Drosophila melanogaster: one gene and its partners. The protein of the gene in region 3 purifies or fractionates together with the protein of the main gene of each other region. This does not show direct contact. Each region holds a gene or a part of one and is shown on either strand. Other genes may lie near its edges.

Evidence for each region.
Region 1: the proteins of Prx6c (region 3) and CG11267 purify together in Drosophila melanogaster (affinity purification with mass spectrometry, with the first as the bait; one large-scale study listed by BioGRID). This does not show direct contact.
Region 2: the proteins of Prx6c (region 3) and p23 purify together in Drosophila melanogaster (affinity purification with mass spectrometry, with the first as the bait; one large-scale study listed by BioGRID). This does not show direct contact.
Region 4: the proteins of Prx6c (region 3) and eEF5 purify together in Drosophila melanogaster (affinity purification with mass spectrometry, with the first as the bait; one large-scale study listed by BioGRID). This does not show direct contact.

What each region holds. Positions count from the first base shown.
Region 1 is NT_037436.4:13,012,359-13,019,937, forward strand, and holds CG11267 (uncharacterized protein), read left to right. Parts: upstream 1-3,691; 5' UTR 3,692-3,803; coding exon 3,804-3,806; intron 3,807-3,998; coding exon 3,999-4,160; intron 4,161-4,228; coding exon 4,229-4,375; 3' UTR 4,376-4,545; downstream 4,546-7,579. Other genes in the region: MICAL-like, read right to left, coding at 1-2,779; mRpL20 (mitochondrial ribosomal protein L20), read right to left, coding at 4,835-4,991, 5,046-5,254, 5,318-5,404; Icmt (isoprenylcysteine carboxyl methyltransferase), read left to right, coding at 6,023-6,262, 6,330-6,701, 6,830-7,117.
Region 2 is NT_033777.3:9,676,130-9,684,287, forward strand, and holds p23 (p23), read left to right. Parts: upstream 1-1,797; 5' UTR 1,798-1,940; coding exon 1,941-1,957; intron 1,958-2,432; coding exon 2,433-2,519; intron 2,520-2,590; coding exon 2,591-2,847; intron 2,848-2,913; coding exon 2,914-3,107; 3' UTR 3,108-3,529; downstream 3,530-8,158. Other genes in the region: Nepl12 (Neprilysin-like 12), read left to right, coding at 1-535, 595-1,590; nmdyn-D7, read left to right, coding at 3,952-4,080, 4,145-4,311, 4,370-4,537, 4,588-5,287; CG9444 (uncharacterized protein), read right to left, coding at 5,393-5,782, 5,841-6,146, 6,207-6,412, 6,475-6,749, 6,809-7,037, 7,519-7,752, 7,821-7,854. UniProt on the Drosophila melanogaster protein: Cytosolic prostaglandin synthase that catalyzes the oxidoreduction of prostaglandin endoperoxide H2 (PGH2) to prostaglandin E2 (PGE2).
Region 3 is NT_033778.4:10,414,249-10,422,032, forward strand, and holds Prx6c (peroxiredoxin 6c), read left to right. Parts: upstream 1-4,469; 5' UTR 4,470-4,556; coding exon 4,557-4,639; intron 4,640-4,701; coding exon 4,702-5,076; intron 5,077-5,139; coding exon 5,140-5,215; intron 5,216-5,278; coding exon 5,279-5,407; 3' UTR 5,408-5,513; downstream 5,514-7,784. Other genes in the region: CG11825 (uncharacterized protein), read right to left, coding at 6,453-6,799, 6,855-6,918.
Region 4 is NT_033778.4:24,054,445-24,062,497, reverse strand, and holds eEF5 (eukaryotic translation elongation factor 5), read right to left. Parts: upstream 4,701-8,053; 5' UTR 4,596-4,700; exon of another isoform or gene 4,592-4,595; intron 4,015-4,591; 5' UTR 4,013-4,014; coding exon 3,807-4,012; intron 3,567-3,806; coding exon 3,365-3,566; intron 3,303-3,364; coding exon 3,231-3,302; 3' UTR 3,216-3,230; exon of another isoform or gene 3,160-3,215; 3' UTR 3,015-3,159; downstream 1-3,014. Other genes in the region: RpL39 (ribosomal protein L39), read left to right, coding at 108-110, 197-300, 506-554; RpL12 (ribosomal protein L12), read right to left, coding at 1,143-1,348, 1,505-1,685, 1,749-1,822, 1,924-1,960; CG13563 (uncharacterized protein), read right to left, coding at 5,015-6,545, 6,609-6,808, 6,864-6,925, 6,979-7,027; ppk29 (pickpocket 29), read left to right, coding at 7,625-7,686, 7,746-8,053. UniProt on the Drosophila melanogaster protein: Translation factor that promotes translation elongation and termination, particularly upon ribosome stalling at specific amino acid sequence contexts.

The DNA of each region.
Region 1 (7,579 bases), on a different chromosome or scaffold from region 3:
CCTCGCGAACTCGGTCAGTCTCTAGGCTATCAATTACTTCGTTACGCATTTCAACCACCTTCACAAGGCGATTGATTAATACTTCCTCATGGGCTTTATCCGAATCGGTTTTGTTGTGCTCCGGTTGCCCCATTAATACTCGTATCTCATGCTCTATGTCCGCCTGCTCCTGCTCCAGGCGATGCTGACGTCGAAGGTACATCAGTTCCGCTTGTCTGCGGAACAATTCGTTTTTCTCGTTGACCAGCTCGAACAGTTGCAATATAAGATCTTCCACTTCCTTTGAGTTGGTTAGCACTTCTGCGGATTCGGGACCATCAGTATCGGTGGCATCTAAGGAACGCTCACAGCGATCCCTGATCATTTTCTCCAGAATAACGCCTTGTTTCTCAAGACCCAGCTGCTGTACCGCAATAATTTCGAACTCGTGGCGAATTTCTTGCAGCGGAAGCCTTTGTAAGACTTTGCGCGGTGGTATTGGAACCGCTGGTGCTGGTCCCTTTCGCCTCTTCCATTTCCCATGAGTGGATTTATTGTGCCCCAATGGGCTTACGTTTCTATCGAAGTCGTTATACACGATAGGCGATTTTTGATCCTCCTTGCTACGTTCAACAGTGTTTTCGGGTTGAGTTGGCGGCACCAAAATGCGTCGGTATACCACATTTACCTCCTCGTCGGCATTGGATGTACTTAAGCTCTCGTCGTAATTACTCGACTCGGTTGCCTCATCGGATAGCAGACTCTGGTCAAGTGGTATTAGTCTTCTGGTTGAATCACCCAGATTTGGGGCCTTAAGCTGAGTGTGCAACAATGCCTTTTGTTCGTCGGACAATTTTGAAAATCCAGGATCACTGTCAAAGTCCGTTTGTATTGGGGGCAAAGGTGCCTGGCGCTTCTTCCGCATCGGAGAGGTAATAGAGCTAAGACTGGTAGTGGGACTCGATTCTTCGCTTCGCAGCGGACTCCCCACTGAGGCGCGAAGTGGCTTGCGAGGCCCATTTGCAGATGGCAAGGAGATGCTTGAGCCACGGTCATCTGCTCCGCGATCGAACGTTCTTATGCTATTCAAATGCTCCGAAGACGAAGAGGAAATACTACTTTTCTGGCCTTGATGCGTCATTGGTTTTGCTGGAGTCTGGGTTTTTGATATAGATATTCTCGGTGTTGGCATCGGCATTTTTTTCCCATGCGAAAGTGTAGGGCTGGAATGTGGTTTCTCTGACGGATTGGAGATGGATGAAAGGCCAATTTTAGGTGGCGGTGGACGGGGCGGTACAACTTTTCCTTTGCTTTGTTGGGCTGGAATGGCTTTAAGAAGCTCCACTTCATCATCAGAGCTGTCGAATGGGTTGGCACCTTTAGATGAGTCATCATCTTTAAAGGGATTTAGATCCTCTGGATAGTCAGTTTCAGATGCTTTTGTCTCAATTACCTTGTCCTTGGGAGACTCGAGATCCATTTGTTTTGGGAGAACACCTTCCTGCTTAGAGCAGCTTTCTGTGTTTGAGAAAATTTTATTTTCTTTACGCGGGCTTATATGGTCTTCTGGTTTAATGGCTACTTGAGTGTTATTTTCAGGAATCGGTGCTTCCTGTGATTCTGGAATGAGTGCGTCTGATGTATTGTTCAAAGCTTCTTGTTTATCTAAATTATCCGGATGTATTGCATCTACAACAAGGCGGTCATCTTCAAGATATATTGAGACCGAAGAAATCTTAAGTTTCTCTTTTGGAATGTCATTTTCCGGACTAACCGCCAGATCATTGTTTTGTTCAACGCCAGCATGTTGTTCATCGTCTAGTGGAAGAGTAGAGACTTTTGGTTTCTCTGGTATAGCGGGCTTTACAGGAGTTGTTGATTTATTATATTGTTCAATAAGGCCACCATCTTCTTCGTCTAGTGGAATAAAAGAGATTTTACGCTCCTCTGATAATATAGGGTTTACCGGATTAATAGTTAGTTCATTATTTTGTTCATCTTTGTTGGACGGCGGTTGGAAGTTTTCAGGCTTATCAGTAGTACGTATATCATTATCTTCCAGGTCTTCTTGTTTATCTTCAGCTTCAGAGTAATCAGAACTTTGTGCCACCATTTGTTTATCATTCGGAGAATCAGTAGTGGTTGTCTTTAACTTTAAAATGTCAGATTCCGGTTCACTTTCTTCATCGGGACAAGTCTCGCAACAGTATATGTTATTGACCTCCGTTTCATAAAAACTCCCGGGTGTGAGCAATGACGAACATCTTGCACATTTTAAGCATGTGCGATGATAAGCCCGTTTGCCGACAAGGACCCTTTCGGCGAGAAAAACAGGAAGGTTGCATTTCTGGCACTTATCACGTCGAGGCATCCCAACAATGTGCATCACCTTTTGCGGTGGCTCACTCTCTTCGCCAAGTGGCTCCTCTGGCTTCGGGTGCTTCAGGCTCTTGCCGAGCACCTTGTAAAACTGGGATAAATACGTTAGTATGGAGAGTCTATCAGGTACTTCATACGAAACCATGTCAGCTGCATCGAGCAGTGCGGGAATTCCCAAATATTTCTCGGCCGTTGTAAAGGCCAAATCGTTGTTCTCATAGATATCGTCTGCTTTAAGTCGGTCGAAATCTATAAGATCCGGCCGAAAGTGGTGTATTATGGCGCAGAAGGCAAGTCCATTTCGCCAGGAAGTGGTCATGTTCTCCACCTTGACCCCATTATATCCTTGGGTCACAACTCGGCACCAATACTCCAAAGCCTTCGTACCAGTTCCAACTTTTGTGCCACGACGATCAGACATTTTAGTGGGTTAATTGCTGGCTTATTGGCGAATATAACTAAACGAAAATAGCAGTCACAAACTGTAAACTAAGTGAACAACAAAAGCACATCGTGCCACTTGACTTGAGTAAAATCAAATAAGATTTATCTGGTACAAATTACATTAAATGTAAACAAGGCAAAACGGTGACTCAAATAAATCTCCCAATCAGATTTAGTGGTGGGAGTGTCAGCAGCTATCGATAGTTGTTTCGTGCTATTTTCCCTTCTTAAAAACAAGATGTTTAGAAAATTCTGAAATTTTTTAATTTTTCTCAGGAATGCCACACTTTTCAATTATTTTGTTGCTTGTCTTTATTGTCTTGCACTTTGCAACAGGGTGTAGTGTGAACAATCCGCTGCCAGAGTCAATCGATTTAAATCGCTAGTATCAATAGCAACTCCTTGGTTTGAACATACCTAATTTCGAGGAAGTAAACAAACAATTCTGTTTTATGTTTATTTTATATTATATTATATTTTAATATTAGTAAATTTGAAAAAATTAAAACACCAGTAAAGCCCAGAAGATTTCTGGGCTTCTGATTTAATTTCTTAAAAAACGATTATTTAGCTCAACAAAGATGAGAACAGAAAATTGCACAACATGTTTATTATAAATTAATGGAAATTAAATTAATATGTTTAAATTGCATATAAAAGGAGTAATTCCTGAAATTGGTATACAAGTTATTATGGAAGTCCACCCACCAGACTCATTTTCATCTTCATGTTTTATAGGAAATCAACTCGGCAATTACTTGGCGAAAAGTTTATTACCATTTTAAAAGTTATACACAACTATTAATTTTTGCATTGACTTCTCTCAGTGTATTCGAACAGAAAAAATTATTTCTCAATGTTATATCCGTGAAATAGCCTGGTCACACCGACGATAAGCAGTCCCGCATCTAGCGAGAATAGTTACGCCGGCACGTGTAGTTGAGTAAAAAGTTCACTCATTAACTTTTATCAACCGCTCCAGTTTGCATTTAAGAATTAAAATGGTAAGTTAAAAGTGCATTGCCCCATATGAGGTTTAGAAGACAGTTTGAAATCGAAGGATGATATCGGTTTTTCGAGAAGGTTCCACGGCTTTCGGTCCACATCCCATTCGCCGGGCTGTTGTGTAATCAATGAGAGAAACATGAAACATTGAAACATGGGTTAATTGTTGGGTCTTTTTTAATGATCCTCAGGCCGCCGCTATCAAGAAGATCATCCCCATGCTGGACCGCATCCTAATCCAGCGTGCCGAGGCGCTGACCAAGACGAAAGGAGGCATTGTTTTGCCGGAGAAAGCGGTGGGCAAAGTACTTGAGGGCACCGTTCTGGCCGTAGGCCCTGGCACCCGTAATGCCGTGAGTATTTCGCCATTATCAATGCAGAGATGGTCATCTAATCACTGAACATCCCACTTCATCCGCAGTCCACTGGCAACCACATTCCCATTGGCGTGAAGGAGGGCGATCGTGTTCTGCTGCCCGAATTCGGTGGCACCAAGGTGAACCTAGAGGGTGACCAGAAGGAGCTGTTCCTCTTCCGCGAGTCCGACATCCTGGCCAAATTGGAGTAGATCTCGCCTCCGGACACTGTCTCACAATTCTATGAATTCTATGCTTTTTATTAGTATGTAACACACCCACAAACCCGAAACTAAAAACTACAATAAAAGCTCATGCAATATTTTTGTTTGCATTGCGCATGGACCGTCATTGAATAAATTTCGAGTTACTTGTTAAAACTAGCAGCACAGGTGTTTTGTCATTAATCACATTTGTCATTTTACTCGAAAAAATATTGGATTCATTCGCGGAAAAGGTAGTTGCAGTAAATAAATTAATGATTTAGTATCAAATTTCATTCAGCAAGCAGAAGTTACGAATTATGTAACTAAATGTAAATACGAATTCGGAGTTAAAAACTAATCTAAAGAACAAATCCCAAACGATTTTACTCCCTTCAAAGTGAAAATTAAAGATTACACGTTTAAAACATACAAATATCTATATTTGAACTCCTACTTAAGGCTATGTTAATCCAACTTCAGGTTGCTCAGTCCATAGACCTGGTTAAATGCCGATCTCCGTTTGATGTCTGGCATTCCCTCCACAGCTGCCCGCTCTCGAGAGATCTTTACTAGAGCTTCAAAAGATCGCGGCTCCCAAATGGCGAGGTCGGATAGGACTTTTCTGAAAGATGTTATAGGTTGTTAAAGGATATGGGAATTTTCCGGTGGTACCCACTTGTTGAGCAGAATATCGGAGCGCGCGAGGCCCTCTTTGAAGGTTTCCAGACCTACTCCATACTGCTGACAACCCGCCTCCACGCGTGTGCTCCACAGTTGCGCCATGTCCAGTTTCTTTAGCTTTCGCCCCTTGGTGGCATAGGCCAGTGCCCTATGGACACTCCGGATGGCGAAGGAGTAGACATTGCGAGTGCGGCTTCTATAATGCTGCAGAAATTAAGCACTAAGAGCTCATTATTTTTATTGTGGCCACGATATTCGGAAACATACCGCTGCCAGCTTGAAGATGCGTCTCTTCCGCCAGAATTCGTCCGGACCACGGGACCGTACCAGCAAGGGAAGGTTCAGGAAGACCATGGCTTGATATTAACAGAATATCGGTCGAGTTTTTATATATTTTTAATTGATCTCAACGACTCTACTTGTTATTTTACATAACCTGCACGGCGCTAAAATGAGCATGTTATCGATAAAATATCGATGCAAGGCGTGCAGTTAAGAAATTTATTTAAAAAGGTATAGGTGAATACCTACAAATGTAATTCATTTAAGTTACTATTAAATTTTTTCTGACTATATAAAATTAAATTAAATCCTCAGAACTCGATATGTCGATATGTAACAGTGCATAACTATCGCTTATTGTTACAGGGGGTATAGGCTAAAGAGAATTGCCCGCATAATTTATTTTTAAAACCATTTTCTGCTAAACGTGGTGTTAAATATTTATTTATTTAATTTAATTTATGATTTATGATTTATTTTATTAAAAGCTGTAAGAATTATATTACTGATTTCTATGATAATCACGAGCCTATACTTTAGCGGTTATTCACTGTGCTGCCTATCGTTATCGAAAGCTTTGCCGGTTTATTTACATTTTGGCGCATTAAACCAAGCAAATGTTTTAAAAAACCTCAATTTCCGTGTTTTTGCGCACAGCAGCAGCACAAAAAGAATCCCGATTCCCCAGTTATGTGTGCAAAGAGCCGAGTGGCTTCTCCTGGGGCCGGTGGCACCAGCCTGTGTTCCGAAGGCCGCATCAGTTTATATTGCTTTCTGATTACTGCAGCTCTAGTCCTGATTCCCTCGGTGCCCCAGAATCTTTATGGAGTGGTGCCACAGGTGTGGGGCGCCGTCCTCTGGGGTCCATTTTTGTACTACGCCCTTATTAACATGATCATACGGTTTGTGCTGCGGAACCACGACTACCAGGTGAGTCAATCGATGAGACGCGATAAACCTTATCAGTGCTATGGCGCTAACTATTCTTGCACCACAGGTGGCCATTAGGGCATCCTTCCTGGGCTTTGCCATGGCCGTGAGTGTGCTGGTCATCTGCTTTGCTCCCACCGAGTGGCAGCAATTTGGCGCCTACGGATGCTTCATGTCCCTTTTCCACTACTCGGAGTTCCTCGTTATCGCCTTTGCCAATCCGCGCACTCTCAGTCTCGACTCCTTTATGCTGAACCACTCTGTGCACTATGGACTGGCGGCGGCAGCCAGTTGGATCGAGTTCTCACTAGAGGTGTACTACCTGCCGCAGTTCAAGAGATACGGATACATTTGGGTGGCGGGCGTGGTCCTGTGCCTGCTGGGCGAGATGGTTCGCAAGGCAGCCATCATCACAGCTGGCCGGAGCTTCACTCACTTGGTTAGTCGTGATGATTTGTTAATACATGGACATATAAATATTATTGCACTTAAGGAATTATCACACTATTATTAATTAAAACTAACTAAATAGCTTGTAAACTTCTCATCACACATCTATTCCTACAGGTCCAGAATGAGAAACACTCGGAACACAAGCTAATAACAAGCGGGATCTACGCCTACTGCCGCCACCCGTCTTATGTCGGCTGGTTCTGGTGGTCCATCGGAACCCAGATCGTGCTATTGAATCCCATCTGCATATGCATTTACACACTGGTCAGCTGGCTGTTCTTCCACGATCGCATCTACGTCGAGGAGTACTCCCTGCTCAACTTCTTCCAGTCGGACTATGTGCGCTATCAAAAGCGGGTGCCAACGGGCCTGCCCTTCATCCGGGGCTATCTGGTCGATTAGTGCCTCTGATCTGGGGTTCAATGTCACAAGTCGCCATGGCAAACAAAACAAAATTCTATTTTAGGTTTAGGTATACAAGGTATACAGCAGTTCTCTTTTGTATAGCAAAAAAAAAAGATTTACAAGCACATTGTTTTTTCCAAATAAGTTTTCTAATATTTAGCATGTTGTTTTGTATTCATAAACTAGTCAAAGCATGTTGCTGAACTGATAATCTAATCTTCTTTTTTGGGTTAATTGTGAATTTATGGGCCGCATTAGCAAGCAAATGAAACAGCTGCGTGTTTCACAAGTTTTATTTAATGTTTAACTCGTCTATCTATCGTTGTTGATAATCTTATCTGCTGATGACTCCTCGTTGTAACTTTGGACATTGTAGTCGTATGCATTATTCTCCCGATTGGTATCTTATACCATAAATGGATAAGAAACCCAATAAATAAAAGGATGAGGAAATAAACC
Region 2 (8,158 bases), on a different chromosome or scaffold from region 3:
GATCCGCGAAACTCTCCAGTTAAGGTATCCCTTTGAGCCCTACACCAAACTGCCCGAACTGGGCTTCGATCACATCATCGTACATGAGGAAAACATTTCCAGAAATACCACACGCGCCTTTCGCCTGAACGAAGAGCGAATGCACGGATATCTGAGGGCGTTCGGCTTGCCGGAGGACAGGATTAGGGAGGCCATCGCTGGGGTCTTTGCCTTCTGGCGGGACGCACTCGAGATCCCGCCCCAGTGCGAAGTGTTTGATCCCTACCGAATTAAGCGAGTGTTTCCCCAATCGGAGTACTACTATAACATCTCGTGGAGTGGACTCCACTCCACTAACAAATTATTCTGCGACTTTTACTACGTTGAACTGGACAAAGTATGCGCCCGACATCGCAAGGCTGTGGCCAACTACCTGGCCATGAAGCTGCTCTATAGATTCGATCCCAAACTGAAGGCGCCCAGGTACCAAAGGAACTACTGTTCGGTTACGCTTTATCAATCCATGCGGTTTCTGTTCAACAAACTCTACATGGCTGTGGGTAACGAATGCGTATGATGAGAATACCAAATAATCTCAACACTCTTGTGTTACAGAACAACTTCAGTGAGGCGAAGAGGCTGGAGATGTCGGAAATGGTGCGGGAACTGCGAAAGAGTCTGCGAAAGGCGCTGGAGGATGCCGATTGGCTGGATGCGGAGAGCAGGGCGAGGGCACTGCTTAAGGAGTCCAGAATACAGCCACGCATTGGTTCGTTCCAAGATGATGCACTTTCGGATCGAATAATCCGGGAAATCAACAGTCTGAAAGTCATCGAGGATCGCTATGCGGAGACCAACATTAATTTGCAGCACCTAGTTGTACAAATCAATCGATTTAGCAGTCGGCATTTTCAGGAGCTGACCAATGACACCAAGCCACAGAAGATCCTGACAGGATTGCAGGTTGGAGCGGGCTACTACACTCCGGACAACTCCATTAATGTGATGGCTGGCGTGGTGGAACCACCGATATACCAACGCCACCTGCCGATTTCCCTGAAATTCGGCACATTGGGTTTTATCGTTGGTCATGAACTCATCCACGGCTTCGATACGACCAGCTCCTATTTCGATGGCAATGGTCACATGGAGTCCTTGTTGTCGGAAATTTCGCAACAGGCATTAGAGGATCGCGCCGAGTGCTACATGGACTACTATGGCAAGTACCAGGTACCGGAGATCAGCAGGCGTGTCAACGGAAAAACTACACTGGACGAGAATATCGCAGACAATAGCGGATTAAGACAAGCATTGACGGCCTATCGCAGTCACAGGCAGCAACTGCTGGAGCATCCTGGGCAGGAGAGGATAAGCGACGCCATGCCGGGTCTCGATCTCACGCCGGAACAGTTGTTCTTCCTGGGATTTGCCCAGCTATTTTGCTCCCATTACGAGGAGGAGCACTACTGGAAAGGTCTTAGCGATGTGCACACCTTCGACCAATTTCGTGTCCTGGGAGTTTTGTCCAACAGCGAGGACTTCTTCCACGCCTACAACTGCTCCGTGGGCAGCGGCATGCGTCCTGGCGCCAAAACGTGCCGACTTTGGTAGATCATAGATTTATAATCATCATCATAAATTCCTTGAACCAAATAAAAGTTGATTTCAATACTTTTTACCGACAATGTAAAATGTTTTGACACAACACTTCAAATTTACGTTACACGTAACAAGCTAACATTTGTGGTTTGAGTACAACTATCGAAGTTTCGCACCCCAGAGCACCGTTCAAATTTAGTCACATCTCCGCAGCGCGCTCGGTAACTCTGTTTCTCATGTCAATTTTGTGCATGACAATTTTGTTCAACAGAAACTGCCTTTTTTTGTAACCAAGTCAGGCTGTCAGTCAGAAGTGTTCCGACTTCGTAAAACATAAACCAACAATTCACAGCAACAACATAATGTCGGCAGCAGCAGGGTGAGTCCACAACCGGCCATCTCAGTGCCAATCGGCGATAGCCGGACCATCTTTTTGTGGCTTCTTTGTGCGTCGCGTGCTTTGTCGTTGCGGCGGCGTCCATTTTCGAACTCCCGGCCGTGAAAAACACATAATTTTCGTTCGGATGACCCTTATTCTCGCGCTCATCCGCCTGGCCAAGCGTTTGTGTCCACGGTGGGCGTGTCCTGTGCGCATCTGCATTGCGATATTTGTGGAACTAATCGGAGGGTCCAGTGTTTGAGGTTATGTTTTCGGCTGGCGGTAATGCCGTGCATTTTCGGCATGGACTTTTGCCTGGGCTTATGGTTTATGCAAATCTAGCTAGCTGGGAAGCTATTTACATAGTTCGTGCACCCGCTTCCAGAAAGTCCGACGCGAGTTGCCATGGCAACGGATCTCGCACAACGACATGAAGCTCTTATTTATGTTTATCCAACTTGATCCTCCATTGCAGCTTGATTCCGCCTCCAGTTTCCTGGGCCCAGCGCAATGACTTGATCTACGTCATCATCGATGTCGAATGCAAGGACATCGAACACAAGTATATGCCCCCATATGTAGTATGTCCATGCTCCTTGCACATCCTAATTCCATATATTTATCCCAAAACAGAGTTACGGAAAAAACCTTCACCTTCAAGGGCGTAAACGTGCTGGATCCGTCGAAGAAGTACGAGGTCACACTGAACTTCCTCCACGAGGTGGATCCCGAGAAGGTGACCAGCAAGAACATTGGCCGCTGCCTGGAATTCACAATACCCAAGAAGGCGGCCGGTCCCTACTGGTCCTCGCTGACCACGGACAAGACCAAGTTGCATTTCCTAAAAGCCAACTTTGCCAAGTGGCGCGATGAGTCCGACGACGAGGAGGGTAAGTTGACATCCTCATCCCCAAGATCTCATCCAGCAAACCCACTCATACAAACGCACTTTGCAGGTGACCAAAAAGACAACAGCATGTTTGGAAATTTCCTTAACAGCCCTGGTGGCGATTGGAACAACAAGTTCGACGATTTCAACGTCGATGACGAGGAGGAGGACTCGGATGACAACATCCCAAGTCTGTCCCAGAACGACGAGGATGACGAGGAGGGCGGCGAGGGTGATAAGGAGAAGAAGCCAGCTGCCTAGACGGTCGCTCAGATGGTGTCTCGCAATTTGGCGTAGTCGTAGCGTTAGGCGTGGCTCTTATACCATAAGTCAGCACACGATCACAACACTCACTCCTCACATACACACCAGAAAAGAAAAAGAAGAAACACTCAATCACTCATAAAACATCCACAAACGCATGCGTACATGAAACACTATTCCAATCGAAGAAAACCACATTTAATATACCTGAATATTATGCGTATTCAGAGGAGAGATGTTAACAAAAAGCAACACAAGGAACAAGATGATTTGGCGCCGACAAGGGAAACCATAAGTTTTACGCTAGAATTTAACAACCAGAGGAAAGCTACAACCAATTTATTGCAAAAATCAGTTTGCAGTTTATTATTTTTGTTTCCTGTAAATAAAGGAAATTAACAATAAAAAAAATGAAAAACTTATATTCGGCTTTTTATTTTCAATATTTTATAAGTTTACAACATTCTATAAATGTTCTAGAAATCTCTAAACTGTTAAATTCGGAATGCGCAGTCCAGCTTCTTAAAGATGTCGCAAAGAAGGCTTTATCTTTGAATAGATAGCGATTTTAAAAAGAAATTATAGGTAATGGTTAAAAATTGTTTATGGGTAATCCCCTAGAATTTGGGTTTAAAATTAACATAGGTATTTTTTTCTTTAAATTTTGCGCCCACTTAAATGAATTTTGTTATGTTGGCAACACTGTTGCTGTGACAACGCGGGAAAGAAGAAGCACAATTGAAATGCAAAGCAAACAAACAGTTATCACTCGAAATAAAGGACTTGCTGTCAAGCGATAGAACGGAAAAGCAAGGTATAAGATTCCCCTCAAAACGATACCATGAAACCCGCTGCGATTCCGGCTAGCGAGCGGCGTCTGGCCTTCGTGGCCGAGTGGTTCCATGCAGAGGCTGGAATCATACGCACCTTTCTGATCACCTACTATGTATCCGACAAGGCCGTGGAAGTGGTGAGGATTGGTAGCACAAGTTCTTCAAAGAAACACATTTAACCAAGGCCATGTTTTCCCTCAGTTCGACCAGCGCAACAAGCGCACATTTCTGCGACGCACCAAGATCCCGGAGCTGACCCAGCGCGACTTCTTTGTGGGCTCCAAGATCAATGTCTTTGGCCGGCAGTTTGACATTGTGGATTATGCTGACGACACTACGCGGACAAACCTAGCCAAATATCGCAAGAAGTATGTTCCTTCATCGACAGCTATCCACTCGCTAATCTGTAATTCCCATCTCTTTCAGGGGATTCGTTTTGCTCAAGAACAATATGTGGACGAAGCACCTGGGCAAGTTCCTAAAGACTCTGATCGACAACAAGATTAACATAAACCAGGGCATGATGGTTCAGTTCTCTCCCAAAATGGTAACTCAGTTTCTGTCCGGCAAGGACACGACGGATGTCTCCTCTTCGTGAGTAAAGATGGCATGCCAAGGAACACATCTTATCCTCTAAATTCCAGAGTCCTTATGAACGAGCTGCTGGCTGGTCCGGCCATTAGTCTGGAGCTAATCGGCGACAACGTAGTGGAGACCATCAAGGCCTGCGCCCAGTACAAGAGCACAGAGGCGGAAACACCCAGTGTGAAACTGTCGCCCAGTTTGGAAGAGCTGTTTGAAAGTGAGGAGATTCGTTATGGATTTTACTACTCTGATAACGACAACGACGTGGAAATGGACCTAAAGTTCATATCTGAGGCGAGGCACAGCATAATTAAAGAATGTGTATTCAAGAATACAACACTTGCCATCATTAAGCCGCACAGCATCAAGGATGGTCTCCTGGGAGACATCATTTCCGAAATCCTGTCGAATGGCTTTCGGTTGACAGCCATGCGCATGATTCTAATGGCCCGAATCAACTGCGAGGAGTTCTACGAAGTCTACCGCGGAGTGGTGCCCGAGTATATACCCATGGTTGCTCAGTTGGCCAGTGGAGTATGCATGTGCATGGAGATTGCTTGCGCCGATCCCGAAAAGAAAACTGATCGCGAGTTCCGCAACTTCTGTGGACCCATGGATCCGGAGATCGCCAAACTGTTGCGGCCTCACACGCTGCGCGCCAAGTTCGGCAAGTCCAAGGTGCAGAACGCCGTCCACTGCACTGATCTGCCAGATGACTCCAACCTGGAGCTGCAGTATATGTTCAAGATAATCGACTGATCTTAGTTTAGTTTTTATTTGTTTTCAGTTAAATGCATGTTTGCCTGTGTGCGTTTATCAATAAATTACAAGTGCAATGAAAATACTAGACCGTAGAAACTTCTCCTATATGCTCCCGCTGCGGCTGGTGCTGGGCACATCCCGGTCCTCCGCTTCACTGTCCATCCTCACATACATTCCGGCCTTGCGCTCCTGCAGAGTGTAATCGAAGGCCAAAAGGGCATAGAGGATGATGCAAACTAGCATTACCACCGCATAGAAGAAGTACTCGGCCATCTGTGAGCTAAGCATACCCAGCTCGGTGACCAGAACCACGATCAGATTGCCGAAAGCATTATTTAGAAACCAGGCTGCCGTGACCACCGACTTCATAGAGGTCGGTGCTTGGGTGAAGGCGAACTGGAGACCCGGAATGGAAAGCAGTAATTCGCCCATCATGAGCAGCAGGAACTGGGGCAGTTGCCAAGCTATATTCACTGTTTGGGGCGGGGAATTCTTCGAATATTTCGGGTTAATAAACGATCAGGTGAGGTATCTTATTATTCCTGCTTACCTTTATTCGTTCCTGCAAGGCTCCTGCACAGAAAAAGGCGCCGGCGGAGAAGATCCCACCCACAGTCACACTATGGAGCGGCTGGAGCTCCCAGTTGAAGTAGCGGCGCAGCAAGGGCACTGTTATATACTGCCATAGAGGGATGAGCATGAACAGAAAGATGGGTCCCACGGCCTTGGCCTGATCCGGCTGGATGGTCACGCCCATTAATGTGGTATTCATCTGGGTGGCCTGGAATGTCCAGCTGGAATCCTGTTGCGCCAGCAGAGCAAAGTAGAAGGGCAGTGGGATAAACAGCTTGGATATCTAAAAGAAACGAAATTATGAAGTTGAAAGAATCTTCATTATAACACAAGTATAACTGACCCTCAAAACTCTGGACACATCATTGACGAAACCCATGTCGTAGGCTACAACTGCATTGTGTAGCCAGTAGTTGGAGCGCTTTGTCGACTTGCGACGTCGCCACTTCTCCACGAGAGCGGTCTTTATGCAGCCGCAGAACTTGAAGAGTATGTTGTCATCGGACAGCTTTTCGGACTTGTAGAACCATTTTCCAACCAGAAAGATAACTAATACCACAAGCATGCGTAAATTAAATAGAAATAAGCTATGAAAACTGATAGTTACTTACACCAGGCCATCATAAAGGCTGCGCCAAGGGTGCCGAATACGGCTGGATAGCATTCCGCCTTGTCAAAGCACTGCGTGTTAGCTCTAACCAGCGGCGGAAGGATCTTGCTCAGGAATATTCCAAAATAGTAGACGAAATAGTAGAAGGAGAAGTACTCGGCCAGATGGACGCTCTGCTCCGGCAGCTTGAACTGCAGTGCGCCCAGCGAGGTGATGCAGGCTCGTATCGATCCATTGCCAACGGCGATAAACAGCAGAGCGATGGACACCAGCAAGCTACGAGTCGCAAGTGGAATAAGCTAAATCCTTCATCCTAATCCGTTGCGAGTACTTACACCATCGGAAGACCCATGGCAGGCAGGGATGTCAGTGTGAGGAGTAACCATCCAAAGGCGTAGATAAAACTGAAGCCGGATATCGTGCGCACATTGCCGATGTAGCTATCCGCTAGGATCGCCCCAATGATCGGACAGAACTGGCCAAAAAAGTTGAAGATGTGCAGCACCACCGTGGAAAAGCTCTCCGTGAAGTTGAGATCGTCGCGCAGATAGAGTGCGAGTACGGCTGGAATCGAGTATACATCGTAATCGTGGGTCAGGCTGCAGTCAATCTCGAATTATTGACCATGAAATAAAGGTTGTAGCATTGAGACTTAATTGGAAATTCGTTAAGCCATCTCTTTAATGATGGATGTTCTTTTTAAGATTCACATCAATGGGAAAATTCCAGGAGTTTTAATTAACAATAATAATAATCTTGAGTCAGTTATCTTATTTTTGAAGATTTTCTTTTTAAGTAACTAAATGCTAGGTCTTGTTCCTGCCCATTATTTGCCAATTGCAACCTAAATTTTCATCTTATCTATGCCTCTTATATTATGCACCATCACAGGTCTTTTGACTGTCAATAAGACCTCCTTGTGTTTATATTTCTGTGCCGCTGATAAGCCTGGTTTCGGAATTTTTCAACCAGACTTTGCCGACGAATGCCTTTGACCTGACCAAAAATCGATTATCTGCTTTTGGATGGAAATCTGGAAACTTACTGCGAATGCCGTTGGCAGCAAAGGCCTCAAAAAATTTTGTGGCCAGAACGAAGAAGACGGCTCGTGGATACCTATACTTCATGCGGATGGTCGGTGGAGCAAATCCATAATTGGGCAGGGAGCTGCGATGCGCCAGCTTCAATTGGGCCCGTTCTCCTCTCCAGGCGACCCACTCCACGTCCCGTGCATCGCGTTCATAACCCACCTGGCTGAGCTCCGCCAGAGCTGGCAGGGCTACATGTAATAGGGAGAGAGAGGATTACCTGCGCTTCTTGTCTTATCTTATCTAGCTGCAGACTCACTTTCTTCGCTGCCGATTTCCGTAGCGCGAAACATTTTCAACAGCCTGCACGCCTAATCCGACGTAGACCAACTGAACCGGAGAGGGAGCAGAGACCTAGGCCAGTTGTTGACTTGAAAGCGCTTCAGACTGGATCGGGTTACAGAGCTGCGGCTTTTGTGGGTCGTAAGCGTTCGCGTTTGGTGTGCCACAACAAGCTGTATTGTTTTGGACGTCGGATTTGTGCCGCGACTGACGACCGCTGCTCGGGGCGGTCCAAGAGCTACTAAAAAGTCTCTTCTCCGACAGAACAAACAATGAGATAAAGGGCAGTCACGACACGATGCTGCTCGATGCAGT
Region 3 (7,784 bases):
TATTGATTTCCTCCTATCTGGTTGGTTAGTTTGCCAATTTGTTTAGCGATAAATAGACCTGTTTCCTGCGCCGTGCGGAACCCATTAAATTTCTAATCATTATTTATGAAATGCCAGCACATCGAGAGGTCCTTTCATTGTTATATGTATGTATATGCCAGCCAGCCAAGATATGCCATAATGTCTTAATTATCTTTTTGGTCGCACACAAAACGATTTGCTAGCCCACGCATAGATGGATATTTTTCGGTTTTTGTGATTTATAGACTGCTCTTAGGCCCGAAAGTGAGAGGATCCTCTGAGCGGACAGATAACAAATTATTGTTTTTCATGCATAGGATGGAGGGACGCTTTCCATTATTTCTCCTAAAAAGAAAAGCTACACTTTGCGTGCTGAAAAGGGCTTGTGGTGGGGTGTCTGACCCCCCAGCCCTATTTCCTATTGGTCTCTGTGGGTGTATTCATCAACAATAATTGCCCAGACCTGTGCTCCTAAGCCTTTCGCTCTTGCGTGTCCCGTTTTCAGTTGGCCCCCAACTTTACTTCCTACACTTGGAGAATAATTGCATTAAAAAGGGCTGCTTGAAATATAATTCCTATACATATTGTATATATTAGCTTTTCCCTAAGATGCTACCATTATTTTAGCTATCTTAATACCATCTATCTAGATACTTGGTATCTCTAAACTACAAAGTTAAACAAACTTTGTCTCATATATATCAGTATTGTCTATATCAGTATTATATATATATATTGTCTCGCATATCAGATATATATAAAGATATTAAAATATGAAAAAAATATATAATATGCATTCCTCCGCGGCAATACACTTATTTTGCAGGTGCATTTTCCGCGCTTTCATTATCAACACTGTTGGCGAGGGGATTTTCTTCGCGTCTTTGTTTTTCCAGGTCTTTATTATTCTTTGGCCTATACAATGTCCCGCAAGAAGTCGTCGCCAGTTGTCTTTGTTGTTGTTTTGCTTGTTGTTGTAGCGTTTTCCTTTGGCTTTTCCTTATTCCACTTGTGTTGTTGTTGTTGCTGTTGCACAAGTATTAACCAAAGGACCCCGGAGCTGCTAAACAAGACGCATCCGCGGAAAACCCAGCTCCCCCCTCCCCCCGCCTACCATTTTGCACTCGTTATTATTATTTTCGTTGGTTTATTTTTTTGTGACACTTGGAATATTTTATAACAAAAACTTGACCCGCTTTTCCAGGAGCGAAGGAAATCCGCATTTCCTGTCCCTTGCAACGCCACACACCTGCTCATCATCAACTGCTGACTTATTGTTTTCTTTTCTGGTTGTGTTTTATCATTGTACCTACACCACTCCCTCACCTTGCTACAACTACATACACACATACATACACACTCCAACTTTTCCTGTCGCTTTTCCACGTGCCTTTAATCCCCGTTTTTATTTTTTAACTTCTTTTCTCAGCTGCGCAGCGGCGCTTAATTAAAATTAACATTTCATGAAGTGCAAAAAAAAACACAAAGAAAAACATTCGCGGGGGTACAAATGACGCTTCCCAAAAAAAGTTTGCTTAATCGTTTCATTAATATTTAAGGCTTATGGCGGTCTGATCTGTCTAACGGTTTTGGGTCCCGCTGACTTTCAATTTAAATGCGATTTTACTCTTGTTTGTGCCACCTTTTGAACCTTTAAATAATCTCGAATAAGCTGTTAATTGTATTTAAATTCAATAGGTATTTTCAAAAAATACCTTAAATGGCGGGTCTGTATTATTGTGAAACTGTAGTTAAAGTTATTTTATTATTTAATCTTGATTTTTTATTTTATATATTTTTAACACTATTTAAACAATTATTTTTAACAGTGTTATTGCCCAAATGCCAACAAGTTTTTAAAGTCACATATAGTACGTATTAAGCTAATTTAATTTAAATGGGCCACTGAAATGTTTAATTGCCTGAACAACAAAAAGCATTACCTACCTACCAAACAATCCTTTAATTACATTCAACATGAATTACAAGAGTACCTTTAAATATTAATTGTCGGTCCGAAAGAGAACATTAGGCAAAGTAAACAAAAGCGTGTACATATGAATAATAACATTTGTGCCCACACCTCACGTGCGCATAAATTGTTGCTTATTTTTTTTTCTAGTTATTTTGGCGACATTCGTAATTGAATGCATTATTCAATGGGCACCGAGGGAGTATGTTTTCGTACCTGTTTTTTATAGCACTTTAACACTTTGATGGCCAACGGGTGCCAGCGGGCTTAAAGCAGTTGGGCCGGGCGATGTAAATGTCTTGGCATATTTTATGAGGACAGTTGGCTGGCAACTTTTCGCCGAATTTCGGAAAACAACTTTATCGTTGCATTTACCATTAGAGCTGGTCAAGGGAAAACTTTTACTACGAGGCGATCAGATCACTTGGGAAAACGCTCCGTTTGAATGGGTGGATAGTGTTAAAGATGATTTGTTTGTAGCCTCACATGTTTGGATTAGTTGGCAAACACACGCGAACGCACCGCATGGGCAAACAACACACAAGTGGAAAAGTTTTCGCGGACAAAAGTTTTCGCCGCCTGCCAAAAGGTGTGTGCACTTTGTCAGAATGCTAGTTTACTACGAACGGCGGTCCCTAGGCTCAAAGTCGGGGCGATACGATAAGACAAATATGTCAAAAAACAGTTTCGAGGACCGTTTACCGTTATGTTTCGACCGCTCAGCTACCGCACGCGCGCATCGCTAAATTTGAACTGAGCCGGAGCGCCAAAAAGCAAAGCAAAGCGAAAGCAAAGAAGGAAAGCAGAAAGGAAAACATGCGGCGTGGGCGATTGCGGTGCTTATCAAAATCAGCTGTTCGGAAGCTGACTTCAAGCGTTAGCTTTCAGGCGCAAAAGCTCTTCCTACAGTCACCGATGCGAAAATAGAATAGCTTTTGGAACACTAATATCAGTCTCAAGTTGAGACTCTCAGCCAAAATATTGGTTGACTTACATTTGTAAGCCATTTTGTTAATGCATCAAGCTGGTAAGCAAAATCGTCTGCTGGGGCATACTTTCAGGCGAAAACGAATATTTTTATACATCCTTTTGGCGGCGGGTTTCTTTCTGATGTTTTTTTAAATGTAACATATTTATAAGGATTAATATCAACGATATGCGCGGCCAAATTGAATTCTTGCGGCTATAAGTGAAAATCCTCATAAGTTTTAATTAAGAGAGGTAGTCAAAAAGAAACACATTTTCTTACATTGTTGTTATTGTTTTGTTCTTATTATTAGGGTTGTTTTTTAAACAAGATAATTTGTGAGCTTAAATAAGCTGGGTTACAAAATATCGAATATTTTTAAACTAATTTTATTAATTGTTATTAATAAGTAGGTCATTAAATTTTTAACGATTAAAACAAATTCTATTTTCGGTATCACAAAACTGATAAGTAATGGAAAATTACTACAAAACGTTTATTATAGAGACGAAGGTTTCTGAATTCTTAGATTAGACCTTATAACTAGCACCCTCTTACGAATGTACTAGTAACTTAGGAAATACGATCGAGCTATTGGAAGTGAATCCAATTTTGTTAAAGATAACCCACCTCTAAATAAATTTAACACTTGCTGCATTTTGAATATCCATGATGACTATATCTTTTATTTTAATTTCAACCATCTGAATCCCATTTGGGTACTGTCTTCTGAGTTAGCGATCTGCCCATCCGACTTTCCAAAACCCATTCGAACTATTTGTGTGTTTTACTGAAAAAAAAACCTATGCTGGTGTGCTTAATATTCGATAGACCCACGCACACAGTCTCATGATTTCACTCGCTCTTCACTTTCAATTGGAGGCTCGTTTTGTGTACGTGAACGGGAGAGCCGTGCGATCTATGGAAGTGTGCGATTTTTGGAGGCACTCACAAATACCATCACACTGCTCGGCGCTCTCTTGCTCTCAATATCCGCCTATCGATGTGGCTGTATGTTTGCAGGTGTTGGTGCTTCGCCTCTATTTACCAATACCATTTAACATTTAAATGCTCTCTGGCTCTCTGTTTATGTTTGGAACCGGCTTATCTGTCAGCTGGACCAGATCAGCTGTTTGGATGTTAGATGCTAAAGGAGTTTGCGCCTATTGGACTTTTAAAATGAGATTAATGAAGAACCAAATAAGGAAAACAGTACTTTATTCTAAGATACTTCCAGAAGCATTTCGTCTCAAAGTCCAAATTATGTACCACGTTTTGTAGAGGCCCCTGTCGAGTTTCACACACATGACACCATGCTCAAGGTTTCCCACTCCCCCCACCAAAGCAAACTACTCCACAATCTGTTCAGTATTGTTTTATAATCTGTTCACAGAATAATATACTACAAACAAACACGCGCGTTGAGGGAGCGCCCATTTCCTATCTCTATCGCACCCGCTATTTACGTCGATCACGTTGGGTATAAAAGACAGCCAGCTCTCCCAGTCAGTATTCAGTAAGCAACAAGTGTGCGAGCTAAAAGCAGCTACCAGTTGAGCAACTAAGTTTTTTTGAAACTAATAATCAAACAGCAAGATGCGTTTGGGACAGACCGTACCTAACTTCGAGGCCGACACAACCAAGGGGCCCATTAAATTCCACGAGTGGCAGGGCAACTCGTAAGTGCCATCAAACCCTTTTTCTCTGATCGAATCTTACCAATTCTTCTTCGGATCGCCAGCTGGGTGGTGCTCTTCTCTCACCCCGCCGACTTTACTCCCGTCTGCACCACTGAGCTGGGCAGGATTGCGGTGCACCAGCCGGAGTTTGCCAAGCGGAACACCAAGTGCCTGGCACATTCCGTTGACGCATTGAACTCGCACGTGGACTGGGTGAACGACATCAAGAGCTATTGCCTGGACATTCCCGGGGACTTCCCCTACCCGATCATCGCCGACCCTACTCGCGACCTGGCCGTCAGCCTGGGCATGCTCGACGAGGAGCAGAAGAAGGATCCCGAGGTGGGCAAGACCATCCGCGCCCTGTTCATCATCAGTCCGGACCATAAGGTGCGCCTCTCCATGTTCTACCCCATGTCCACTGGTCGCAACGTTGAGTAAGTACCTCTTTCGGGCTACAACTATTGTTAATCTCAACTGACGATCCTTTAATCTTACAGCGAGATTCTGAGGACCATTGACTCCCTCCAGCTGACTGATCGCCTCAAGGTGGTGGCCACTCCCGCCAACTGGACCGTAAGTTTTTCTACCCACTTAATGCGAACTGTTCCGAACTAATTAATTCTGTTTCATAAACAGCCTGGCACTAAGGTCATGATCCTGCCCACTGTCACCGATGAAGAGGCTCATAAACTCTTCCCCAAGGGATTTGATAAGGTATCCATGCCGTCTGGAGTAAACTACGTCCGCACCACTGACAACTACTGACACAAAACCGTTCCCCATTTGTGATCCATTCAATAATGTGCCGTATTTCCTGACATATACTATATACTATGTGCAGTTCATTTATTTAATAAAAAATTATTTTAACAAAATATCCAAACTATTTTAATTGATTTAATGAAAGAAATTTTTGGAGAATAATGTAATCCAATCAGAATTAGGGGAGTTACTGCGATTTTGACGTTCTTTTAGATTGTATAATGTCTGTTTTTTATTTCCTTGCGGATGGTATAGTGATTTTAATCTATTGATGTATTTCTATTGCAGTTGGTAAATAAGTCAAAACTGTATAATATATACGATGGAATAATAGTGAAAATGAGATGGTGTACCTTTTTTGACAAATTATTTGGTTTTTTATTTTATCAAAATCGTAGTGTTCTTATTCGGAATGCATCAGTTTTTAAAACCATTAGTCGTAGAGTAAAAGGATATACTGGGATTTCTTAAAAAGCATAAAACAAATAAAATGATGCCTTATCGACCATATGAAGTATATAAATTCTTGATCATGATCAATATCCGAGTCGAGGCTGAGCTGTCCGTCTGCATGAACGCCTTTGAAATTTATTCATTTTATTATACATATGTTGAACTTTCTCGTTCGCACTCCCACTAGCTAATTAAAGAGTATCTGATAGTCGAGGAAATTGACTATAGCGGTTTCTCTTGTTTAAATATAACATTACTCCAACGGAATATGAATCATAAATGTCATAACTGTAAGTGAAGTGTTTTTTGGTAGAAACATTCTTTATTGTGTACGCTTAATAGTTAACTAATTTTAACTAAGATTAAACCTGATGGCTAATACTTTGCAGAACTTTCTTAAATTCTAGAATAATTTGTTCTACCATTTCTGATTCGATGAAGGTGGTGGGGAGGTAGGCAATTTGATGCTGTTGGGAAAATGAAATTAATAGTTGTTCATTCAGAAATTTCGACAGATGTACTTACAGTTTAATTAACGGTCACCATTTTATGTATGTATTTTTGGTCTTTGGCCGATGATCCTACTATATCTTATTTATTCGTCTGGCCTGGTATTGCTTTTCGGTTCCTCGTGGAGCAGGTACTCCTTGGCCATGGTGTACGCCAATCCGGCTGTCAAACATCCAACGACGGTTCCCTGGGCAGCCACACGCAACTGCATCAGAAAGACGCTGGTGCTCATGCTGCCTCGGTTCCGATATTTGTAGGCTCCAATCAAACCTGCGGCCACGAATCCGGCAATACCCACCAGCATAAAGGGGGACTCCTTCACTTTTCGGGATAACTTGTTTGCCTGAGCGACATCTTCGTCGGTTTCGAATAGAGAATTGGAACTCATTTTGAATAGGTTAGAAAACTTGTTCCCTCTTCTTGTTAGTTTGCCTGATAATTGACAACTGAATTCCGAGTGAAAGAGATCCCTGGCTTTTATACCCACTTGCTTTGAGACGATCAGTGAGCGAGATAGCGACAGTGTTGTTTTCACTGATATGTATGTACATACATACCTATGTATATACACCGATATAATGTACAGCCGTGCGGGCAAGGCCTCCCTGTTGCGAACGCCTCTATTTTTGAATGTTAGCATGCATCAACCTCGTGAAACTCGGGACTTTGTGATGAAATTCTAGAAGCTGCCTCAAAAGTACAGTACATCTAGTTTATATTGCACTATTATTTTCAAATAAGCCAGAATTGGTGGCTAATTTCCAAAGTTGTGCATGCAATCCAAACAGCTGATCCAACAGCTGATCATTTTCCAAAGAGTGTGGGCAGTGAGCGAGGAAGAGAGCGACTCGCCGCATAGTAGTATTTGTGAGTGCCTTCAAAAATCGCACACTTCCATAGATCGCACGGCTCTCCCGTTCACGTATACGAAACGAGCCTCCAATTGAAAGTGAAGAGCGAGTGAAATCATGAGACTGTGTGCGTGGGTCTATCGAAAATAAACACACCAGCATAGGTTTTCTCTCAGCAAGTCACACATATATGTAGATCGAATGGATTTTGGGAAGACGAATGGGCTGAAAGATAATTTAGACGCAAAAAGACTGTTCGCATGAAGAGACACATTGCTTTGGAGTAAACATGGAGTAGATTTAAATAAATAGTAATAATAACATATTAAACTGTGATGCGCCAAGAAATACGTATGGAAAATCATGCAAGCAATAAAATGACTCAAAGTACAGTCTGTGCGTTGCCTTATACACATTTTGTCGTAATTTTCCATCGGTTTCTGGCTTGTTTGTCAATAAAAAAGTGAATTTTGTGGATGAGCGGAAAAGGCAAGTGATGAAGGAGAGAGATGCGGAGGCCACGCGAATGTTGGTTGGCTGAAAGATTAGCGTTGGTTAGGGAATGA
Region 4 (8,053 bases), about 14 Mb from region 3:
TGAAATTGTGATAAGTGAACTTATCGATATAAACCCACCACCAGCGCGTATTCTTTTCCGGTCTGGTTCTTTCTTTCCGGTGTGGCTCGTTGAAAAGATTGGACGAAATGGTGGGAAATTTTTCTTATTTGTGTTTTTGATCAAATGTTTTGAATATATCGAGATACTAAACGTTCGTTACTTCTTTCTCCACCAGGCTGCACACAAGTCGTTCAGAATAAAGCAGAAGCTGGCTAAGAAGCTGAAGCAGAACAGATCCGTTCCCCAATGGGTTCGCCTACGTACTGGCAACACTATTCGGTAAGTTCGGTGTTGGTTTTCCATTTAAATGTTTAGTATTGCAGTGGCAAAAGTTTTGTAAGGGCAAAGTATCCCAACGCAAGTGCGTTTAATTGTTGAGTGTACTGTCACTACCTTATTTTTAATATTCTTAATAACATAAAGATCATTGGTGCAACATAATCTTATTCTAATATTAACTTCAACTTTCCGCTTTTTCTTTCAGTTACAACGCTAAGCGCCGTCACTGGAGGCGTACCAAGTTGAAGCTGTAAGCTGTTGATTCCAGGAGTTCCGCAATTTTGTGGAATGCTGAAGATCTTTTCGAGAATATGAAATAATAAATTCGTCTACAATTTGCGGATTAAATATACTCTCTTTTTATTTGTATCTTGGGAAAGGGGTGGCATACATGCATTCGTAAATGCAACGCAGGAAACCCAGGCGGAAAATGTGACCGAAAGCATTCTCCAGTAACGAAAACTGAACACTTTCTTATCAAGCATGTGCTTTTTGCGGGGCATGTGCGAATTGTTTACTTCTCATTTAATGGAAAGACCTTCCAAATATATAATTGTTTTAACAATGCAAGAGTTCTGCACATTGTTTTCTGCCTAATAGGAATTCAACTGTTAAACCGAACTAAGAAAGATTTTCCTATTGCGTTGCTTAATTGGCAAATCTACTCTGCTGAATTGATGCAATATTATGCACTTCTAGTTTTCCTCTTGTTTAACATTTAGCTAGCCTATCTGAAATCGCATTCACGGCCGCATTGAGCTCGAAAGTAAAATTCTGTCCGATTGGGTCAATTATTACAGACTGTATCGCGTACAATTTATTAATTCTGTTTAAAAAACTGTTTATTCCGCGGGGACTTCAATGGAGCCCTCGTTCAGTTCGTCAATAACATCGTGAGGGTGCTTTCCGTCAACGGTGCAGCCGACGCTCTGGGCGGTTCCCAGAACTTCCTTGCAGGTTCCCTTCAACTCACGGGCCATGGACCTGGGCCTCATCACGCGGGCGATGGCCAGAATGTCTTCGAAGCCAATGTTTCCACTGTGCTTGACTGTAAATTAAGAATATCTGCTGTTAATCGGGGGATCAAGCACAGAACCATCCAGTGCATGTGGGCACAGTGCGGTGGAAGCAAAGCTCCTCATTATCCACCACAGCCCGGCACAGGCATTGGAAGTCCAGTCCAGGATTGCCGGGCAATACTCACTGTTCTTCTGCTTCTTGCGGTCACGTGGGGGTTCCTTCAGAGCCTTGATGATCAGCGAGGCGGCGGAGGGAACCACGGAGATGGCGGCCTGTCGGTTCTGGATGGTCAGGCAGACGGTGATCTTCAGACCCTTCCAGTCGGAGGTGGCCTTGGCGATGTCATCACCGATTTTCTTGGGCGACTACAGAGAGACACTTTTGTTAGCGCGAATTGCACAAGTAAACAAACCGATTTGCATGCTTACCAGACCGAGGGGACCGATCTTTGGGGCCAGGGAGGATGTGGCACCGACTTCTCCGCCCACGCAACGCAGGTACACTGTAATTTGGGTGCAGAAATTCGTTATTGAAGATAATCCTCTATTATAAACTACGGTTTGCTCGAAGCTCAACTCCTCACAAAAACACTCGCTTACTTACCCAATTTAACTTCCGTTGGGTCGAATTTGGGAGGCATAGCGGTATCTTGGCTTGAACAGTCGCTGTAAGGCAAAGATTACGTTAGTTTTCGCCGATTTTATTTGAGACATTTTCAGCTCATGTACTTTACCGCAAAAAAGACACACAGAAAAAGAAAGAAGAAGCTATCGATTTCCGGGAGGACCGTTTGCAAGTGATGTATCGCCCAGTGCTATCGGAATAAAAAGTGTCTCGAATGGAACGCGGAATTGAAACGAGTGTAATGAGTTTATATTTTTATTTATTCTTAATTTGAAATTAGGCTTTAAGAAATCTTTTTTTTTTGTTGAAAATGTTAAATACTAGTTGATATATTTTAAGTTTAATTAAAATTCAGATTTACATTTTTTTAACTACATTTCATAGCGGTCGTTGTAAATATTTTTATCTTCTTGTTAGTTCAGTTAGTTCAATTTTGTTAGTTCAATCTAATATTTATTTATGATTATGCAAGTAATTTATATCTGCTAGCTGAAGAAATACTTATTTGAATTTTCTCTATCAACTTACTAAACCGATTTACAAGACAATTGGTATATCGATTGATTGGCATTTGGCTTAAAAAATTATCGATTATTCTTCTAATCTTACAACTTATGAAAATTGTTTTTATTGTTTTTGTACTTTTACTTGACCTTTCCGAAAGTCGGTACATCAATGTTGAAATGTTATTTAACAACGGCATTTAAACCGTACATATGTACATGTACATACATAAATTGGTACTATACGAAATTCCGACCTGCCTCAAACAATATGCCTCCTCCATTCTCTATATCCGAGTACCTTATCTTTTTCAGGATACACTACACTTTTAAATGGGGTGTAGCAAAGCTCAGTAGCGTTGTCAATAATACAAGTTCATCTTGTACCCATTCAAAACCGGTAGCGTCACCCCATCTGGTTCCCGCCGTTTACCATCACAATGCTAAGTGACGCCATTCATTCGTGCGTCCAGACCAACATTTTGTTTACTTTTCCCATTTAGCTGTGCGAATTAGAATAAAGTTTGCTGAAATAAAGAGCTTAAACCCAATGAAAAACAGGAGAATCATAGTTTTACGGATGACGTTTAGGTAAAAAATTTTATTGGCAAACGTGTATCTTGTTACTTAGTTATTCAAACATGATGCTTCGAGTTTCTGTTATATTAATTACAATCGTTAGAACCAGATTTAAGATGTAGAGCCAACTAGCCTATAACAGCATCTTTGAATAAATTTGTTTCAGATGTAAATGCAACAGAAATTTACAGCGACACATTTTGCCTATTTGTCCAGAGCAGTATTGGTTTTAATTGCGATAACGCACTCCTCTCCGCACGCCTTGAGAACGGTGCACTGAAAAAGTATAATTAAATTATTCTCTGCGAAATAATAATATGGTGTCGAGGCAAACTCACCAGTAAGTCCTTGCCACTATCAAAATCTAAACGCAATTGTTCACCCAATTCGCCCTCTGGAACCTTCAAGTCTTCACGCAGATCTCCGCTCTCGGTCATCAATGTAAGGAAGCTATCGTCACTAATAGCAATCAACTGAAGGTCCTCCCTTTTGACATTGGGCACATCCATGTTATGAGTAGATGGGCAAATATCTTCATATCTGCAAAGACGACGATAGACAAAGCAGGCGTTAAGTAAGAGGATCTGGATTTGGCTTGAGGTGGCGTCGCCGCGTTGAACTCTAATTTTCCTCCATAAATTTATTGATAACTTTGGTCCAAGATAAGATTGCTTGCGCACACTTTTCGTTGATTACATTCAAGAGCAGCGCGTCGCTTCCTTTGTGTTCTCCGCAAATGCTGCTGCCACCAGATAGGAAGAAATATGCGAATATACTCACTTCTTGTTAGAGAAAATATCAATGCCAACCATATGAACCTTGGCGTGTCCGTGCTTTCCAGTCTTTGAAGTAGACATCTCGACAATCTTGCATGGCCGCGACTTCAGCATGACGAATCCGTTTTTGCGCAATGCCGAACATTGCATGGGATAGGTCGTCGATGCGCCGGAATCCGTGGTCTCGAATTGATCGTCCAACTCAGCCATATCTGCCGCACAAGACACAAGATGTGATTGAATTAATTATTTATCTATTTAATTAACTGCCGATTAATTGGGATTTGAATGCATTTACACTTAGGCACAAAGACACTAGCTGGTGTTGAAAGCACATTATATACCTCGGCGTTCTATGGGTACATACAGACACAGACGGATTCGCACATATGTATGTAAATACGTGTGTGTGCAAGCCGAAAAAATGCATACATACGTATGTATATATGTGTCGGCAAATGTATGTATCCGAAATGTCATATGCCAAATTGCATACCCAGGCACTTGGCACTTTAGTGTTCAAACATTTAATTTGGCAAAGTCATCGAGACACACGGCACTTGAAAGTTGTGTACTGCATTTTTGCACTTGTATGTGTGTATGTGTGCTTGTGTGAGTGTAAGCACTTTCTTTCGCATATTACTGAATGTGCCGAGATGACCGGAGGTTAATTCTGGCTTCCAAGCCGTTTTTGACCGTCTCCTCCGGCTGTAAGTGCCATTTAGGTCGTCCGCCGCTTCTCCGGCGAATTTGCAATTTTTTTATACACAAAAATGCGAAATTACTAACCTACTTGCAAAGTCCAGTGACTGTTCCAACCGAAGATGTAAAATGAAAGAACCCTGCTATCGAATCAAACCCACGTTTTGTTTCCGGTCAATAATAAGAAACGCACAGTGCTGCATCTTAGCACACGGATTGTCAGCACCGGTCGCTGTGCCAGTTTAGGAACTGTGGGAATGGAACGATAAGGCCGATGCCGTATTTTCGCCAAACTTACAATGGCCTGCCAACTCAGTCTTAAATTTGAAAACAACTATTTATAAGCTATATGTGTATGTATGTATGTATGTTGCAAGTAAACACTTAATTTTTTGTTTTATTATGTATTTGGTGCTTAAAATGTCTCTGTAAGTATAAATAATGGTTAAGACTTTAGTTTGCTCTGTTCATTTACACAATGTATACGCATGACTCGAAGACTATAGCAATTTACTGCTGATTTACTTTTTTAAAATAAACCTCAATGGGCAACGACGGTATGAAATTATCGTTTTCCAGGTGCGACATTTTTCTGGACCTTTGCGGCTTTGACCTTGCCTTAATATGGGGCTGCCTCATTTTTAAAGTACCACTGGAAATAGTCATAATTGCCGATTCTGTGACCAAAGCGTGTTTTTCTTCTGATATACCATCGGCGCGAGATTTTGCCAAAGTGTGACTTATCGCCTGCGTAGCGTTTCGAACGATAACATTATCATCGACCTTCGTCGATTTCCGGGGTGTTGCTGTTGTTCGGCGCTTAAGCTTTTTTATCGTTTCGATATCGGTATCAGCTGTTGTGTTTTTCGCGGCTTCTGGCATTGCAGTGGAGTTCAAGTGCTTGCGCCGTTGGTAAATTCTTTTCGGTAAACTCTTTTTGAATTCTCCCATGGCTTTGCTGGAATCTGTAGAATTTCTCGAAATCTGCACCGGAACCTTTTTGGTCGATGCCAAAACTCGCAGTTTTCTCAGTTTTCTATTGACGTTTGTTCTTCTTCTTGGCGGTGTGGGCGTAGTTGTTGTTGTAGTCGTTTCCAAAGTGGTGTGGTTGTCAAGAACAGCTGTAGTCGTTAGATTCTGAACGTTCTTCGGCGTTTCCCTAGTTGTAACCAGGTTTTTAAGATGAAGCTTCAAAAGTTTCAGTTTAGTTTCAATGCTTGAAGAGAAGTTTTTGGTCGCTTTCAGGGATTTTAGTCTGTGCTTATAGGATCCTGTCGTAACATTCGCCGTGGAATAGACGTTCTGAGCGGGTTGCGGAGTTGTCCATTTCGGGGGATCCTCAGAAGCCGCAGCTTCGGTTGTTGTGGTGCTGGAGGTAGTGGGGCTAAACCAGCTTGGTCGGGTGCTATATCTGTACTCCATTTCCAAAGCAGTGGTTTTCCCCGGAAAAGTGAATTCAGTGGTCGTGGTTGTTGTAGTTGGAGGCGGCGTGGTGTGCTGAAACCGCTCGGTGAAAAGCTCCTGGGGCCTTTCCGTTGTGAGAATTTGGTGACTGGGCCGAAATTGCTGGTCTTGTGCTGGAGATTTGCCGAGTTTCGATGCGGAATGGGGGAGAATCACGTCGTCAAGGGTGAAGTAGGTGTGCGCAACGTAGTTGAAGTAGGGCAAAGTGGTTGTCGTGGTCACCGGCAGGTCACTGGTCTTGCTCTGCGAGCTGTATTGGTCCTTGGCATACTCCTGGAACGGAATCTGGAGGCAGTTTTCGCGGCACTTGTTCCAGCCGTCGTTGGAGGCGTGGGTTTCGGAGTGGTTCCACAGACTCGGAGCGCCAATGAGGCGTTCTGCGCTCGGAAGGGTTCCCGTCGTGAGGGGCACGAAGGCGTTGACTGGGGCTGAACTGAAACCAATAGGTGCGTTTACCGGAGGGGAACTGTACTCAATCGTGTTGAGCGGGGCCGCAACGAAGTCAACGGTGGAAGTAGCAATGGGCAGGAGTGTGCTCTTGAACCCATTCACTTGGCTCAAGTCCCTGAAGATGCTCCTGAAAGAAATCCACTATGATTATACGTATGCACAAATGGATGATATGTGCGCTGATATAGACCTCTTCGAGTTCGCATAGGCCTCGTGGAACTGGACAGGTGAGGGCACGTATCGGGGCAGCATGTGCATGTTGCGCATGTAGTTTTTTAGACGCATTTTGCCCACCAGGATCGGGGTCCTAGCGTTGTACCAGTAGAACTTTCGCATGGCGTTCGGGTGCTGTCTATAGAGGACGATCCCTGGATGATCCACGGGCCACATCTGAAAGTCGATGCGGGCGTTCATACTTTCGCTTTTCCTGGCGTCGAATGCTTACCTGGCGTTTTGGCCTCATGTAGCTGGCGGATGACTTTATGCTCAGCAGTATGTACAGCAGTCCTGAAGCGAAGCGGGTGAGCTTAATTCGAATTTATTGATTTTAACCTCCATACCAGTGGTCATGTAAATGACAATAATGCTGCCTTTCACTTTCCCCAGCATCTTGAGCGATTGATTTTGGCTGCAGACAGTTCAAGACTAGCAGCATTGGTTTTTCATCCACATTACTTGCTACTTGGCTGGGAATCAAAGAGATGATCGACTTTTCAGGGATATATGCATTTGCCAGATCACTCACACTTGTGGTAAATGTGCATTTAATTTTCTTATTATATTTTATCCGCCTAGGTTCCCGAGTGAATGATTGTTGCCAAGTCAGTGCCCAGATGCTGCATCCAAATGGTGGCGTGTGTGCTATGGAGCATAAAACGCAACGCTTGGACAAGCCCATCTTCAGTTATAATTGTTGCATCTATATAGTTGGATACACTTTCAAAAGGTATGCACACTTTCGCAGCCCAACGAACCGATTCCCTCGCATCTTTGATACCCATTAGTGCATCTGAACATTGCGTGCAGTATGCAGTTGCATTTCAAAGCTACGAGTATGTTTTCTTCTTATCTCTCCATTAATCTAAACGACACGCTCGATTTGCATCAGAACTTGCGTGCATCCCTCCGTATTTAAATAAAGGATGGACATCATATATTTTCGAATTAGTCACGAAGAAATTGTGGAAAGGATTTCATGAATACGAAATGTGGCGGAAGTCAGTAATGAATTTTCGAGGATTTATAAGGTCTTTTGTGGAAAATAAAGGGTAAGAGTCAGCGATTCGAGGATATTGTCTACGGTTCGCAAAACCATCACTCTTTGCAGGCTGCTTTGGATTTTTGTGATTGGCATTTCTGGATGGAGCACCGTTTCCATATTGGTTCTATTGAAAACCAGATACGAAACGGACTCCACGACAATAGGGGTCTCGACCGCCTACAGTCGCTGGATAAACACCTTCCCATCGATAGGAATCTGCTTAACAAAAAGCCGAGCGTTTAACGAATTCAAGGCAATGATGCGGGAGTATTTTCAGGAAGACTTTGCCTTCTCCTTTACAAGAATGATATACGAATATGCTTTTCTCAACCCCAACAACATATTTACGAAGGAGCCTACCAAGAATACAAGTT